Rattus norvegicus: one gene and its partners. The protein of the gene in region 3 interacts with the protein of the main gene of each other region in a pairwise test. Links are inferred from orthologs where the notes say so. Each region holds a gene or a part of one and is shown on either strand. Other genes may lie near its edges.

Region 1 (4,260 bases), on a different chromosome or scaffold from region 3:
CTCTGCCTGTACACCGTGTCACATGTATCCATGTATGTACTTAAGAATAAAAAAAAAAGCCAATATAATCAGCAACAGAGACACATGACTTTCACTGTGTAATTGTTGTATGAAACAGCAGGGGGCGTCCAGTGGGCCTTCTTATAGGCAGGAGCATAGTGCTGGACATTGGTATACTATGGCCCTTAGCTAGTACAGAGGAAGACAGATTTGGTCCTTGGTCAGTGGTGTCTCTGCCAGCTGCAGACATCTCAGGATCCCAGGCACCCACACTGTCCACACAAAAGCACAGTTCTGACTCCATCCCTCTCCGGTGCCAGTGCTGTCACCGCAAGCTCACTTGCTCCAGGTCAGGCCAGCTCTCCAGGCTTCCACTCTGGGTCCCCACTCCCTGCAGGGCCACATGTAGAACTACCCATTGCCTGCCCAAACTCCCTGACTTTACACCCTTGCTTCTGCAGAAAGCCACTCAACTTGGAAAGAAGTCTATTTGCAAAGAAACGTTATCATTATCCTTATAAGAAGAGGTAGAAAAACAGGCAAGGAGATCCCAGAAGAGGAAAACAGAGATCTCATTGCAGACCGAAGGACACCAAAGGCTGTGGCAGCCACGTGAAGTTGAGAAGGTATGAGGTAGCCTCCTCTGGAACTTCAGGAGGGAAGGGAGGCAGCCACTGCTCACACCTCAGCAGTGTGAGCGAATGAAGACGGTTGTCTAATATCACCTGGGTTGTGGCGAGTCAGAGAGTTAAGGGGCACGGATATATCCGCTTAGGCAGAACCTGTGCTATAGATTCTATAGTATACAGGGTGTACCATGCAAGACTAGGGACCAGCAAAGGCTACCTCAGTACATGCTAACTCACTTGTATGCCACCGACAATGCCTCAAAGTCCTACAATGGCCTTGTGTCTCTCAAGAGAAGATTAAGGAGAGGTTGTTCTGCGGTGCTCTGAAGATTGAGCAGGATCTGTCCTCCCAAAACAAGCTGTTACTTTGTTTGCTTTGACCACTGACCAGCCTTCTCCCAAATCCCTGGCTCTCCCCAGTGGTCTTAGCAGGGGCTGGTTAGCGTGTGTGCGTGCCTGTGTGCGTGCGTGCGTGTAGTTTAGGGTTTTTCATGCTAGACAAGAGTTTTACTAAGATACATACATAGCCCTGTGTGGGGTGTGTGTGTGTGTGTGTGTGTGTGTGTGTGTGTGTGTATAGTTTAACGCTTTGTGTGCTAAACAAGAGTCTTACTACTGGGGTTGGGGATTTAGCTCAGTGGTAGAGCGTTTGCCTAGCAAACGCAAGGTCCTGGGTTCGATCCCCAGCTCCAAAAAAAAATTAAAAAATAAAAAAATTAAAAAAAAGAGTCTTTCTACTAAGACACATCCCTAGACCTTGGCTTCCATGCAGGATCTTGCTATGCAGCTTCAGCTGCCCTTGGACTTTGTCATGTAGCTCAGGTTGTCCCTAAACTTTCCATCTTGTAGCACTTGCTTCAGAATGTGATTACATCACCAAGACAGGTCAGAGTACACATCCCCTCGAGCCTTCTCAGTAAAGGATTCACAGAGACAGGAAGTGGATCGCACAGCCCTACCGGGTCAAGGACCTTGAACTGAAGACCCACTTCCAAAGGAACAGCAGCCTATGGAGTCACACGGAAGGGCTACTATTAGCTCTCCCACGTAGCCTGTGCAGTCTCAGCCTCCTTCACTAAGTCACTTCTGCAAAAAGTTAAATGTGGCAAGAAGTACAAAACCTGTATTTCTGCTCTGCTCCAATAATCTCCCCTGACTAGGGCTTGCCAACTGTGATAACCACTATATACCTAAGGAGACAGCAAGGGTGACCTGGGAAACAGGCGACAAGTGAAGGAAATCCCCACAAGCCTCTCGGGTCATGAGGGAGTAGAAAGGCCAATGCCCTTAGGGACCTAACTGGCTCAAGGGAATTCAGGAATTCTGTAGAAGGAACCAGAATTAAAAGCCGGCGCGCAAGAAGCTCAGAACAGCGAAGGCAAACAGTAAAAAGCTAAAGTGTCTATGTCAAAACTTGAAACTTCCTTTTGTTAAAGACGTCCCACAAACCCACGCAAACGCCTTCTATGGGAAACTGGCCCAAACTAAAGGATGAGAGAGACTGCAGGACAAACCTGCGGTGTCTGAAGCCAGGGTGCAGGAGGCGAGGCTCGCTGATGCCCAGCGGCCCAAGCGTGGGCGGGGCTGCGCTGGCCTCAGGTCCGCCGCGGGCAGCAAGCTTCGGACAGCGGTGCAGGCCCTGGGGATGGCACGCACACTTTGGATGCATCCCTTTGTGCAGGGCACCGCAGTACCTCACGAGAGCCGCCAGCTCGCCGCAGCGGCGTGCCTCCAGGCTGCCTGCGCCCCCTTCTCCACTCGCCAAGCTGCGCGCAAAGGCGCGCGACCGTCGCTACCAGGACTGTCAGCGGAGCGCGACGAGCCCCCGCCCCGCTGGAGGGGCCGCGGGCCCCGGCGTCTCGCACTGCCGCGTCTGCTGCCTGGGGCGCTCTCGGAGGACACCGCGCGACGTGCTTCAGGGTCCCCACCCACTGCGGCCGCCTGGCCCCCGCTGCCAATGCCTCCGGCAAAGTTGGCGCAGGCTTTCCAGGGGGCGCGCGGAGCCGCCGTCAGGGCTCCGTGCAGCGGGCTGTGCCCCGGCTTTGTTCCTGTCCCGCGCCCACCCGCACTCTGTACCCCCTCGGCCTTGCCCACCTTCTGGATGGTCTGCTGAGTGACCTCCCCTTTGCCTCTCGGCCGCGCCGACGCGAAGGCCACGGACATGGTGGTGGTGCGGACTCAGCCCGTGATCATTGGGGTTTATTCTCCGGCTGCGCCCCGCGGCCCGAGGTGCCCATTCTCCGCAGCGCGGGGGCGGGGGCGCGGGGGGCGCGGTGCCGTGGGCTCGCCCGCCTGCCTATCGCCAATGCGCGCTCGAGGCCCCCGCGTCCCCGCGCCTTATTCGATTGCCTCCCGGGACCGGATCCCGTGCGGAGCCCCCCTACAACCGGCCTCCGCTCTGCCTCCAGCAGGTTGCCGCTACGCTGCCCCCTGTGCTGGGTTTCGGTGGTTCCGCCCGCCCTGCCCCGCCCCGCCGCGCCGCGCCGCACGTCCCCCTGACGCCGGACGCTGCAGACGCCAGCAGCGTGGCCCGGGCGGGCGGGGCGCTGAAGGTGAGTGTGCGCTTTTGAGCGGCGGCGGCTTGAGCTCGCGCGTCCGCAGTGATGAGCTACGACCGCGCCATCACCGTCTTCTCGCCCGACGGCCACCTCTTCCAAGTGGAGTACGCGCAGGAGGCGGTCAAGAAGGGCTCCACCGCGGTGAGCCGGCCGGGGGCCTGCGTGGCGGGGTGCAAAAGGAAGCGGGGCACGGAGACCAGGGCCTGGAGGCCGTGCTATCTGCTGGCGGCGGGTGGACGGGAGGTGACGGGAGCTGAACGGTGACGACGTAGGAAGGGCGCCGTGCCGCGGGGCCTGCGCCGCGCTCCCTAGAGAGCCGAGCGACTTTGCCTGTCTTTCCCACTGCGGAGCGTCTAGGCGAGCGCATCCCCGGGGCTGGGCCGGGGCCATCTTGGTGCTGTGTGCGCGGCGCGGACGGCGGAGGCCGCAGGTGCGCGCGGGCAGCGGGAGGCTGGCTGTATCCGGCGCCGGTAGGGACTTTTGGATTTGCGAGCTAGGCGTTATGGATGAACAAAGGGCGGTTCATGGTCCCTGCGATGGTGACAGGCTGCTTCCGGGTCCGCCTGCGCCATCGACGCTGCGTTCTGGTTCCGGTGGGCCCCTTTCACCGCGCCCCCGGTTTTGTTCAAAGACCTTATCGCTATTTGGAAAGGGGCTGCCTCACACCTGCAAGAGTCAGCAGTGAGACAGTTTTGGTTTTGGTTTTGGTTTTTCCGGAGTCACCGGATCTTCGGGAACACACGTGGTTCCGAGTCTTGAAGCGCTTGCAAGAACCCAAGAACTCTGGAATGACCAGGCTTGGAAGTGCAGGCCTATATACTTCTGGCATTTAGAAGGTTGAGGAGGCTCGAAAATCTTACAAGTACAAAACCAGCTTGGGCTTCTAAAATTAAAGACCCTCTTTGTGCTTGTGTGTATGTGTGCATTATTAACGTGTTTTTTTAAAAGTTATTTTTATGTGCATTTGGCATTTTGTCTACATATATGTCTGTGTGAGGGCGTCAGATTCCCTGGAACTGGAGTCGCCATGTGGGTGCTGGGAATTGAACCTGGGGTCTTCTGGAAGAGCAGCC
Region 2 (4,012 bases), on a different chromosome or scaffold from region 3:
GAGATCAGTTTTTCTTTTCTTCTCAAATGTTTATTTTTGTGTCTGCGTGAACCTACGACACGCATGCGCAGGTGGTCCCCAGGATGAACCAGATCAGCCTCTGGAAGAGCATAAGTGTTCTTGACCACTGAGCCTCCCCACCAGCCCCATCAGTGTTCTGTTGGAGAAGCAGGGATGCTCAGATAAGCCCGCTTGCCTCTCGGGCTGCTGTGTGGGACTGGATGAAACTGCATTTACAGGACGCCTTGCAAACTGTGATAGTCACCTGACACACAAGCAAGGCCTTCTTGGTGTTGGACGAATCCAGAATCCGTTCACCGAGGGCCTCTCGCTCCAGAGCCTCTCCGTCTCCTTGAGCGCGCACAACACAACTTCTGCAGACAGCTGCGTCGGTTCCTCACTCTGTGCGTGCCCATGAGGAAACGGGAAAAGTGTAATCACGGTCCTAAGAGACGTCGCCTCTACCCTTCAGGACAACTGGGAGTGGGCTAAGGCACACACAACGTCTGTAGGAGACTACAGGCCCCCTTAGGACGTGCCAGGCCAGGGTCAGCCTGCGCGGGGCACGGTCCATCTCAGGGCAGGAGCTTGATGCGGTGTCATGGTTTGTATCAGGGCGCCAAGCAGGGCGCGGGGACACGGTCTACCTCCGCACGGATCCGGGCGCGGGGGCAAGGTCACCGACCCCGGGCGCTGGACCGTCAATAGGAGGCCTGGAAGAACCGGAACGCGGGACAGGCTAGGATCTGAGGTCCAGAGGTGGCTCAGAGCAAGGGCGCCGCCCTAAGACAAGCCCTCTACGAACTTCAGGGCCCGGTGTGAGGGGTGGGCGGGGCACTGGTGAAGGCGGGGCATGCGGGGAGGAAGGGCTCGCGGTGAGGAGGAGGTGCGCGGTGAGGGCGGGGCCACGCAGGGAGGGCAAGGAGGGCGGGGCTACACGATGAGGGCGGGGAGCGCGGTCAGGGCGGGGCCACGCAGGTATGAGGGGCACGGGGTGAGGTGGGGCCGCGCAGGGAGAGCGGGGACCCCGGGGAGCGTGGGGAGGGCGGAGTCACGCAGGAATGAGGAGCTTGGGGTGAGGGCGGGACCACTCAGGGAGGGCGGAGTCACGCAGGGAGGGCGGGGCATGCGGTGAGGGAGGGGAGCGCGGTTTGGGCGGGGCCGCGCGGGAGAGCGGTGTGGGCGAGGAGGGCGGGGCCACGCAGAGGATAGCGGGCACCGGGTGAGGCGAGGCCGCGCAGGAAGAGCGGGGAACCCGGGGAGCGCGAGGAGGGCGGAGCCACGCAGGAAGGGCAGGGCATGAGTTGAGCCTAAAGCGCGAGGTGAGGGGGAAACCGCGCAGGGAGGGCGGGGCCGCGCGGGAAGGAGCTGCGCGAGGTGAGAGCAGAGCGCGCAGGGAGGGCGGGGCACCCGAGAAAGGCGGGGCTGTAAGCGCCCTCCTTGCAGCGACTGGCGGGCCTGCGAGGGGGCGGGGTTTCCGGCGGCAGTGCACTCGGGCATCGACTGACGCAGAGTGGACGGGCGTCACGTGACACGGAAGTGACTCCGAACAGGAAGAGGACGAGAAAAATAACCGTCCGCGACGCCGAGTGGAAGTGGATTAGAGCCACCATGAACAGCAAAGGCAAGGCCGGGAAGCGGCGGAGGTCGTCGGGGACGCGGGCGGGTTCGGGTCGAGTGGGCCCGGGGGCGGCGGGCTCGGGGCGGTCAGGGCCGCTCTCCTCAGCAGGCCGCGGAGCGGGGCCGCACCTGACGTGTCCGCCCCCCCTCCCCCACACACCGCAGCAACTCGGCTCTCCGGGCCCCGGCCCCATAAACTCTGTGGCGCAGTTTGGAGCCGCGGGCTCCAGTGTGTGAGGTGGGGGTGTTTTTCCGTGACTGACACCGGCTGGAGCGAATGGGGAGCTAGAGCAGGGATTTGGGTAGGCCAATGGAGGACCGGCAGAGGCGGGGCGCCGCGCTTCGGAACAACAGGCCTTGGCCGAGCTTAACTCGTGAGGTGCCGGCTCTGCTGCCCAGTCCCGGCCTTCAAGGATCCTTTCCCGCCTGCCTTCGACTTTTCGCGCTCCCTCCTCAGGGCCAGGATTTATAGTCGTGCCTGTGCTAATGTTTGTCAGACCATGGTCGCGTTTACCTCCCGCCCCCAGCCGCCGCCCTTCTCATGGTTAACTTCCATTCACTCACTCTTTGGAAGTCGACCTTGAGTAGGAACCAACCCGTGAGGTAACACGCAGAACCGTGGGTTCCACAGAGTCTGCACTGGTTACCGCACAGTCCGTGGGAGACTACCCGGACTAGAAGTCCCCCCAAAACACCAGCAATCCAGAATCCCCGGCACGGGTTCTCAGACCTGTCCTTTATTTGGGAGGGAACGGGGCCAAGTTACACTTGATTCCTCCATCAGTATGCTAGTGGGAACAGCGCCTTCTGCCCAGTCAGAACCCAGCACCTTCCACTGTGAGGGTGCAGAGACAATCTTTTATTTTCTTGGCTCTAAGAGCTAAGGCCCTGTGGGGCAATCTGTTTGCAATTCTTCTGCTTGAGCTCACCAAGTTAACTGCCCGTTTTACAAATTTTTTTTATTGTCTGTGAATGTGAGGGTAGGTGCCCACAAAGACAGAAGCTAGAGTTGAAAAGAGGTTGTGTCAGATGTGGATGCTGGGAACAGAACTTGGGTCCTCAGGAAGAGTGGCATTTTGTCAGGAGCATCTTTCCTATTTGCCACCTCCCTAATTTGATAGACAACATCTCTCTTCCCCTTTTGTATTCCAGGTCAATATCCAACACAGCCTACCTACCCTGTGCAGCCTCCTGGGAATCCAGTATATCCTCAGACCTTACATCTTCCTCAGGCTCCACCCTATACTGATGCTCCACCTGCATACTCAGAGGTACTGCACTTTGCTAGACTTTTAACTATTTGAATACACTCTTGGACCCCTCCCCCATTGTTAAATCTTCAAATTCAGAAGCAGAGAATGCTCTATGAACCGTCTAAAACATAAGTTAATAATTACCATTGGAATTGAACGCATTATCTGCTTGTTATTTGACATGCTGAGTTAGGCTGAGTTTGGGTCCCTTGAGCCCAGTAGTAGCTGTGGATGCAAATGACCCAGAAACTGTGTGCCAGTGACAGTAACCAGTGTGATCCACACACACAAGAACTGAGAATGGACTCATGAGCCATGCGTGGTGGTAAGACCAGTAGTCTCAGCACACGGAAGGCTCAGGCAGGAGGAGCTTGAGGTCAAGACTGTCTTGGGCTATAGAACCAAACCCCATTTCCAAAACAAAACAAGGGGCTGGGGATGTAGTTGATTTGGTAGAGTGCTTGCTTAGCATGCACCAAGCCCTGGATTTGGTCTCCAGCCCAATGTGAGCTGGATTTGGTGGTGCAGGCTTTTATTTCCATCAGTCAAGAGGTCAAGGCAGGAGAGTCAGGAGTTGAAGGTCATCCACTCCTACATTCTTGCAGGCTAGCCTGAAGTACAGGAGATGGTCTCAGCAATACTTAGAGGAATTTCAAATACCAGTGTCACAGAAATATTTTGCCTTCTCTTCTGCTTCTTTTAGCTCTATCGTCCAAGCTTTGTTCATCCAGGGGCTGCCACAGTCCCCACCATGTCAGCTGCATTTCCTGGCGCCTCGTTGTATCTGCCTATGGCCCAGTCTGTGGCTGTTGGGCCTTTAGGCTCCACGATCCCCATGGCTTATTACCCAGTTGGTCCCATCTATCCACCTGGCTCGGCAGTGCTGGTGGAAGGAGGGTACGATGCAGGTGCCAGATTTGGAGCTGGTGCCACCACTGGCAGCATTCCTGTGAGTATGCCTAACCAAGAGCTCAGCCCTCGTGCACTTGAACCGTCTGAAATGACTTCATACTCATTCTCCTACCATCCCAGGGTAGTAGTAGTCAGGACTGGCACAGCTGCTGCCCTCTCATGACAGAAATGTGGCTGGGCCAATCAGGGCATTGGGCACAGTCCTTAGAGTTAATCAGATTCATTTG
Region 3 (3,500 bases):
TATAATGCTACCAGTTTAGCACCCGCATTATTTAGTAATATACAGAGGTAGGAAGGGAGGAGGCAGTATGGCTTAGTAGTCAGTTCTGGTTCAAACTTTGGGAGTCTGATGCTGAATAGTTTATTTTAGGCACATTTAAGCACAGCACAACTTGGTGAAATTTTCCTAAAAATAAATAACTCAATCCCATGTGCACAATAAAGCTAAGGACATAACTACATTGAAACTCTGTTAAGTACACCCATTTTCCATAAAGATGCATTCTATAGATTGACAAGTTCACCGTAAGTGTCTGGGGAGGGCTCAGGGTGGTCTTGGCCACACAGACAGCACAAAGGTCACCAGTTATTAACCACATCTACTCCCAGTCTTCTGGGAGGAAACAGGTTATACATCTCCTCCTTAGAGGAGACAACCCTGTGTGTTTAACATTCCTGGTTCCCCTTTGTGTTATCTGTGAGCACAAAGACCTCCATACTTCTGACATATAATCAGTATGTGTAGTTACTGACTCTTGGTGGTGGCTTAAAATAAACTTATTATGTTACTTATTGTGACACACTTTGCAAACATTTTTTTTTTTTTGAGGAAAGAACATGCATCTATCAAGAAGCTATACTAATAAAATCTCGGAGGACACCTCATTAGGAATGTTTCTCTTTACTGCTGAGACAGATGGGTTATTTAATTACTCAGTGTGGACATCTGCTTAGCTACCTGATGATGGGAGTAACAGACTGCTTTAGAATAGTGGCCGGCTCTAAAGTCCCAGGGAGACCTGTGTGAGATGGGCAATGTGTCCCCATGTCCTCTCCACAACTCAGACAAGCTTGTTCTTAAGCGGCAGGCACATCAGCATGATGCAGTAAAAGGACAAAGGATTTGTAGAACAGCCCATGGCACGCGCACTTTAGTCACCTAAGGGTGCGAGGAGCACAGTGCGGTGTCCTTAGGCTCTTCCTTTTCTATCTTCTGCCCTTTGAAATGCCACACCTCACCTGAACGTCTCACATTTACTCAGTTTATAGATCACACCCTTTTAAGTACTGTATTAGAAGGTCTCTATTCCCAATGACCTTTGGTTGAGCCAGCATGACTCTGACTGCACAGGTAATAACAAGCAACACTTACGTGGGGGCCACCAGGCATTGGCGGAGCACCAGCAGGTCCTGAAGGCACTTGGTAAGGATTATTCAGAGTAGGGTGGGGTCCTGGCGTGGGGTATGATCCTGCGGGGCCAGGATATGGTGCTGGTGGTCCCCAGGCTCCCGGTGGCACAGTGCCCCACGGAACAGGCGGTGCTCCCGACACTGGAGGAGGAACAGTGGGGTATGGCCCTGGAGATCGATACGGCATATTAGGATGCTGCCCCGCAATTCCTGGTGCCCAAGGTCCAGAAGAGATGGATCCCCATGGACCTAAAGTACCAGCTGCAGCTGGATCTGTGGGCGCACCGTATGGCCTAGGTAGCTCTGGAAGGGGCATATTTGGTGTAGCGTATGGCCCTGTGGGGCCAGGGCCTGGCACAGCAGGGGCTGGATAAGGAACACCAGGTGGGGGACATGATGGTCCAGAAGGAGGAAAGGGTCCTGGGGGTGGTCCGGCTGGAGGCATGGAGGGATACATTCCTGTTGGTACTGGTCCAAAAGGCACAGTAGAGGGTGCTGCACTACTCGGTGGGAGTCCAGACGGCATTGCAGGGGGGGCGCTTGGATTACTCCAAGGGCTGGAGCCTGGCCAGCCCTGAGGAGAATGGCCAGCTTTTGTGTTGGTCACAGCAGGCGTTTTGGCAGAGGACTGTTCAGGTAGCGCATCTGCCAACTGTAACACAAAATGGGTGAGCGTCAGCTCTCTTCCCCAGCGGTGAGTCAAACCAAACACGATGATAATCCCATACAAACCATGCACAATACCTAGGGATCGCAAGCCTCTACTCATCTGAGGACCTCCTCTTAAAGACCTTGAGATGTTACCTCACACATTAAAACACATTCTTTTTGAGAAGGTTTCATTGTAGCCCAGGCTGACCCTGAACTTTAAAAACAACTTATTTGTATTTATTCTGTGCATGGTGGTTGGTTTGTTTTGCCAACTTGATGTAAGTTGGAATCATCTGGGAAGAGTGAACTTCAATTAAGAAAATGCTTCTACTAGACTGGTGGCCTGCAGGCAAACCCTGGGTATTTTTGTGATTAATGTCCACTGTGGGAGGCATCATGCCTGGAAAGGTAGTTCTGGGAGATTCCTTAACAAAGGAAGCTAAATGTGCCTCCGAGAAGAAGCCAGGGTTCCTCCAAGGCTGATGTTCTAGTCCCGGACTCCAGACCTTGCCCTGAGTTCTGCCCTGGCTCGGCGTCATGATGGACTACAACCTGTGGGATGAAGCCGACCCTTTCTCTCCTACGTTGCTGTTGGCCATGCATCACAGCACCAGAAAGCAGGCTAAAACCATGTGCCTCCATGCATTTAAACGCAGCACATGCATGCCTGGTGCTGGCAGAGGCTAAGGCGGTTTAGGTCTCCTGGAACTGGAATTACAGGTGATTATGAGCCCCCTGAAGTATAGCGGGGCCCAAACTCAGATTCCTGGAAGAGCACCAAGTACTCTTAACCACTGAGACATCTCTCTAGCCCCAGCCGTAAATTTGTAATCCTGCTGCCTCTACCTCTCAAGTGCTGAGATTATAGGCATGTACCATGCCACTATGTCTGGCTGATAACTCTCAATAAATGTGCAAGGTAACATCTCAAGGTCTTTAAGAGGAGGTTCTCAGATGAATAGAGGCTTGTGATCCCTGGGTATTAGGATTCTAATATTACTGCCAGACAAAGAGAAAAATAACAAAAAATTTCATTAAAGACTATAACCATGCCTAGATACTTTACAACCAATGATCCCCCTCCCCCCCGTGTGTGTGTGTGCAGAGACATAGGCAAATCACTTGTCAAGGTCATGTCTAGTGGCTGGCGGGATGGTCCCACTTGTAATTCTAGCTTTATGGGATCCAACACATGGTCTCCCTCTAAGGTCACCTGCACACTAACACACATACATAAAAATAATTCTCAAAGTCATACACCTAAGAAGTCCAAGCATGTATCCTTTTAAGAAAAAAAAAAAAAAAAAGGATGGGGATGGTTTACAGTAAAAACTATGCTTTAAAAGTTTTTTCTCTATTCATAAGGAGAGCGGGTCGGGTCTCACTGTATAGCTCAGGCTTGCCTGGAACTCACACTCTTCCTACCCCAACCTCTATAGGGCTGACAACATTACAAGCATGCTCCACTTTTCTCGCCAGAACTAGGCTTTCCATTACAAACAAACAAACACTTAGCAAGGTTCAACTTACCGAAAATTCATCTGACATTTTCCTAAAAAAAAAAAAAAAAAAAAGTCAAAATTAGTGTTTATACTTTCTTATACGTTTTAGAAGGGTTTTATTTTACATTTTACTTACATGGAGTGTCTCTGTGTAGCCCTAGCTGTCCTGAAACTCTCT

Evidence for each region.
Region 1: the proteins of Mapk1ip1l (region 3) and Ss18l1 interact in binary tests that used the Homo sapiens proteins (3 or more experiments, as listed by UniProt). The two-hybrid records come from large-scale screens. The link is inferred for Rattus norvegicus from reciprocal best matches to the Homo sapiens genes MAPK1IP1L and SS18L1.
Region 2: the proteins of Mapk1ip1l (region 3) and Dazap2 interact in binary tests that used the Homo sapiens proteins (3 or more experiments, as listed by UniProt). The link is inferred for Rattus norvegicus from reciprocal best matches to the Homo sapiens genes MAPK1IP1L and DAZAP2.

What each region holds. Positions count from the first base shown.
Region 1 is NC_086021.1:187,520,156-187,524,415, reverse strand, and holds the start of Ss18l1 (calcium-responsive transcription coactivator), read right to left. Parts: upstream 2,801-4,260; 5' UTR 2,793-2,800; coding exon 2,724-2,792; intron 2,340-2,723; exon of another isoform or gene 2,144-2,339; intron 1-2,143. Other genes in the region: Psma7 (proteasome subunit alpha type-7), read left to right, coding at 3,233-3,328. UniProt on the Homo sapiens protein: Transcriptional activator which is required for calcium-dependent dendritic growth and branching in cortical neurons. Recruits CREB-binding protein (CREBBP) to nuclear bodies.
Region 2 is NC_086025.1:133,592,325-133,596,336, forward strand, and holds the start of Dazap2 (DAZ-associated protein 2), read left to right. Parts: upstream 1-1,212; 5' UTR 1,213-1,322; intron 1,323-1,377; exon of another isoform or gene 1,378-1,446; 5' UTR 1,447-1,611; coding exon 1,612-1,624; intron 1,625-2,772; coding exon 2,773-2,891; intron 2,892-3,576; coding exon 3,577-3,822; intron 3,823-4,012. UniProt on the Homo sapiens protein: In unstressed cells, promotes SIAH1-mediated polyubiquitination and degradation of the serine/threonine-protein kinase HIPK2, probably by acting as a loading factor that potentiates complex formation between HIPK2 and ubiquitin ligase SIAH1.
Region 3 is NC_086033.1:23,034,768-23,038,267, reverse strand, and holds part of Mapk1ip1l (MAPK-interacting and spindle-stabilizing protein-like), read right to left. Parts: intron 3,373-3,500; 5' UTR 3,369-3,372; coding exon 3,351-3,368; intron 1,822-3,350; coding exon 1,132-1,821; intron 1-1,131.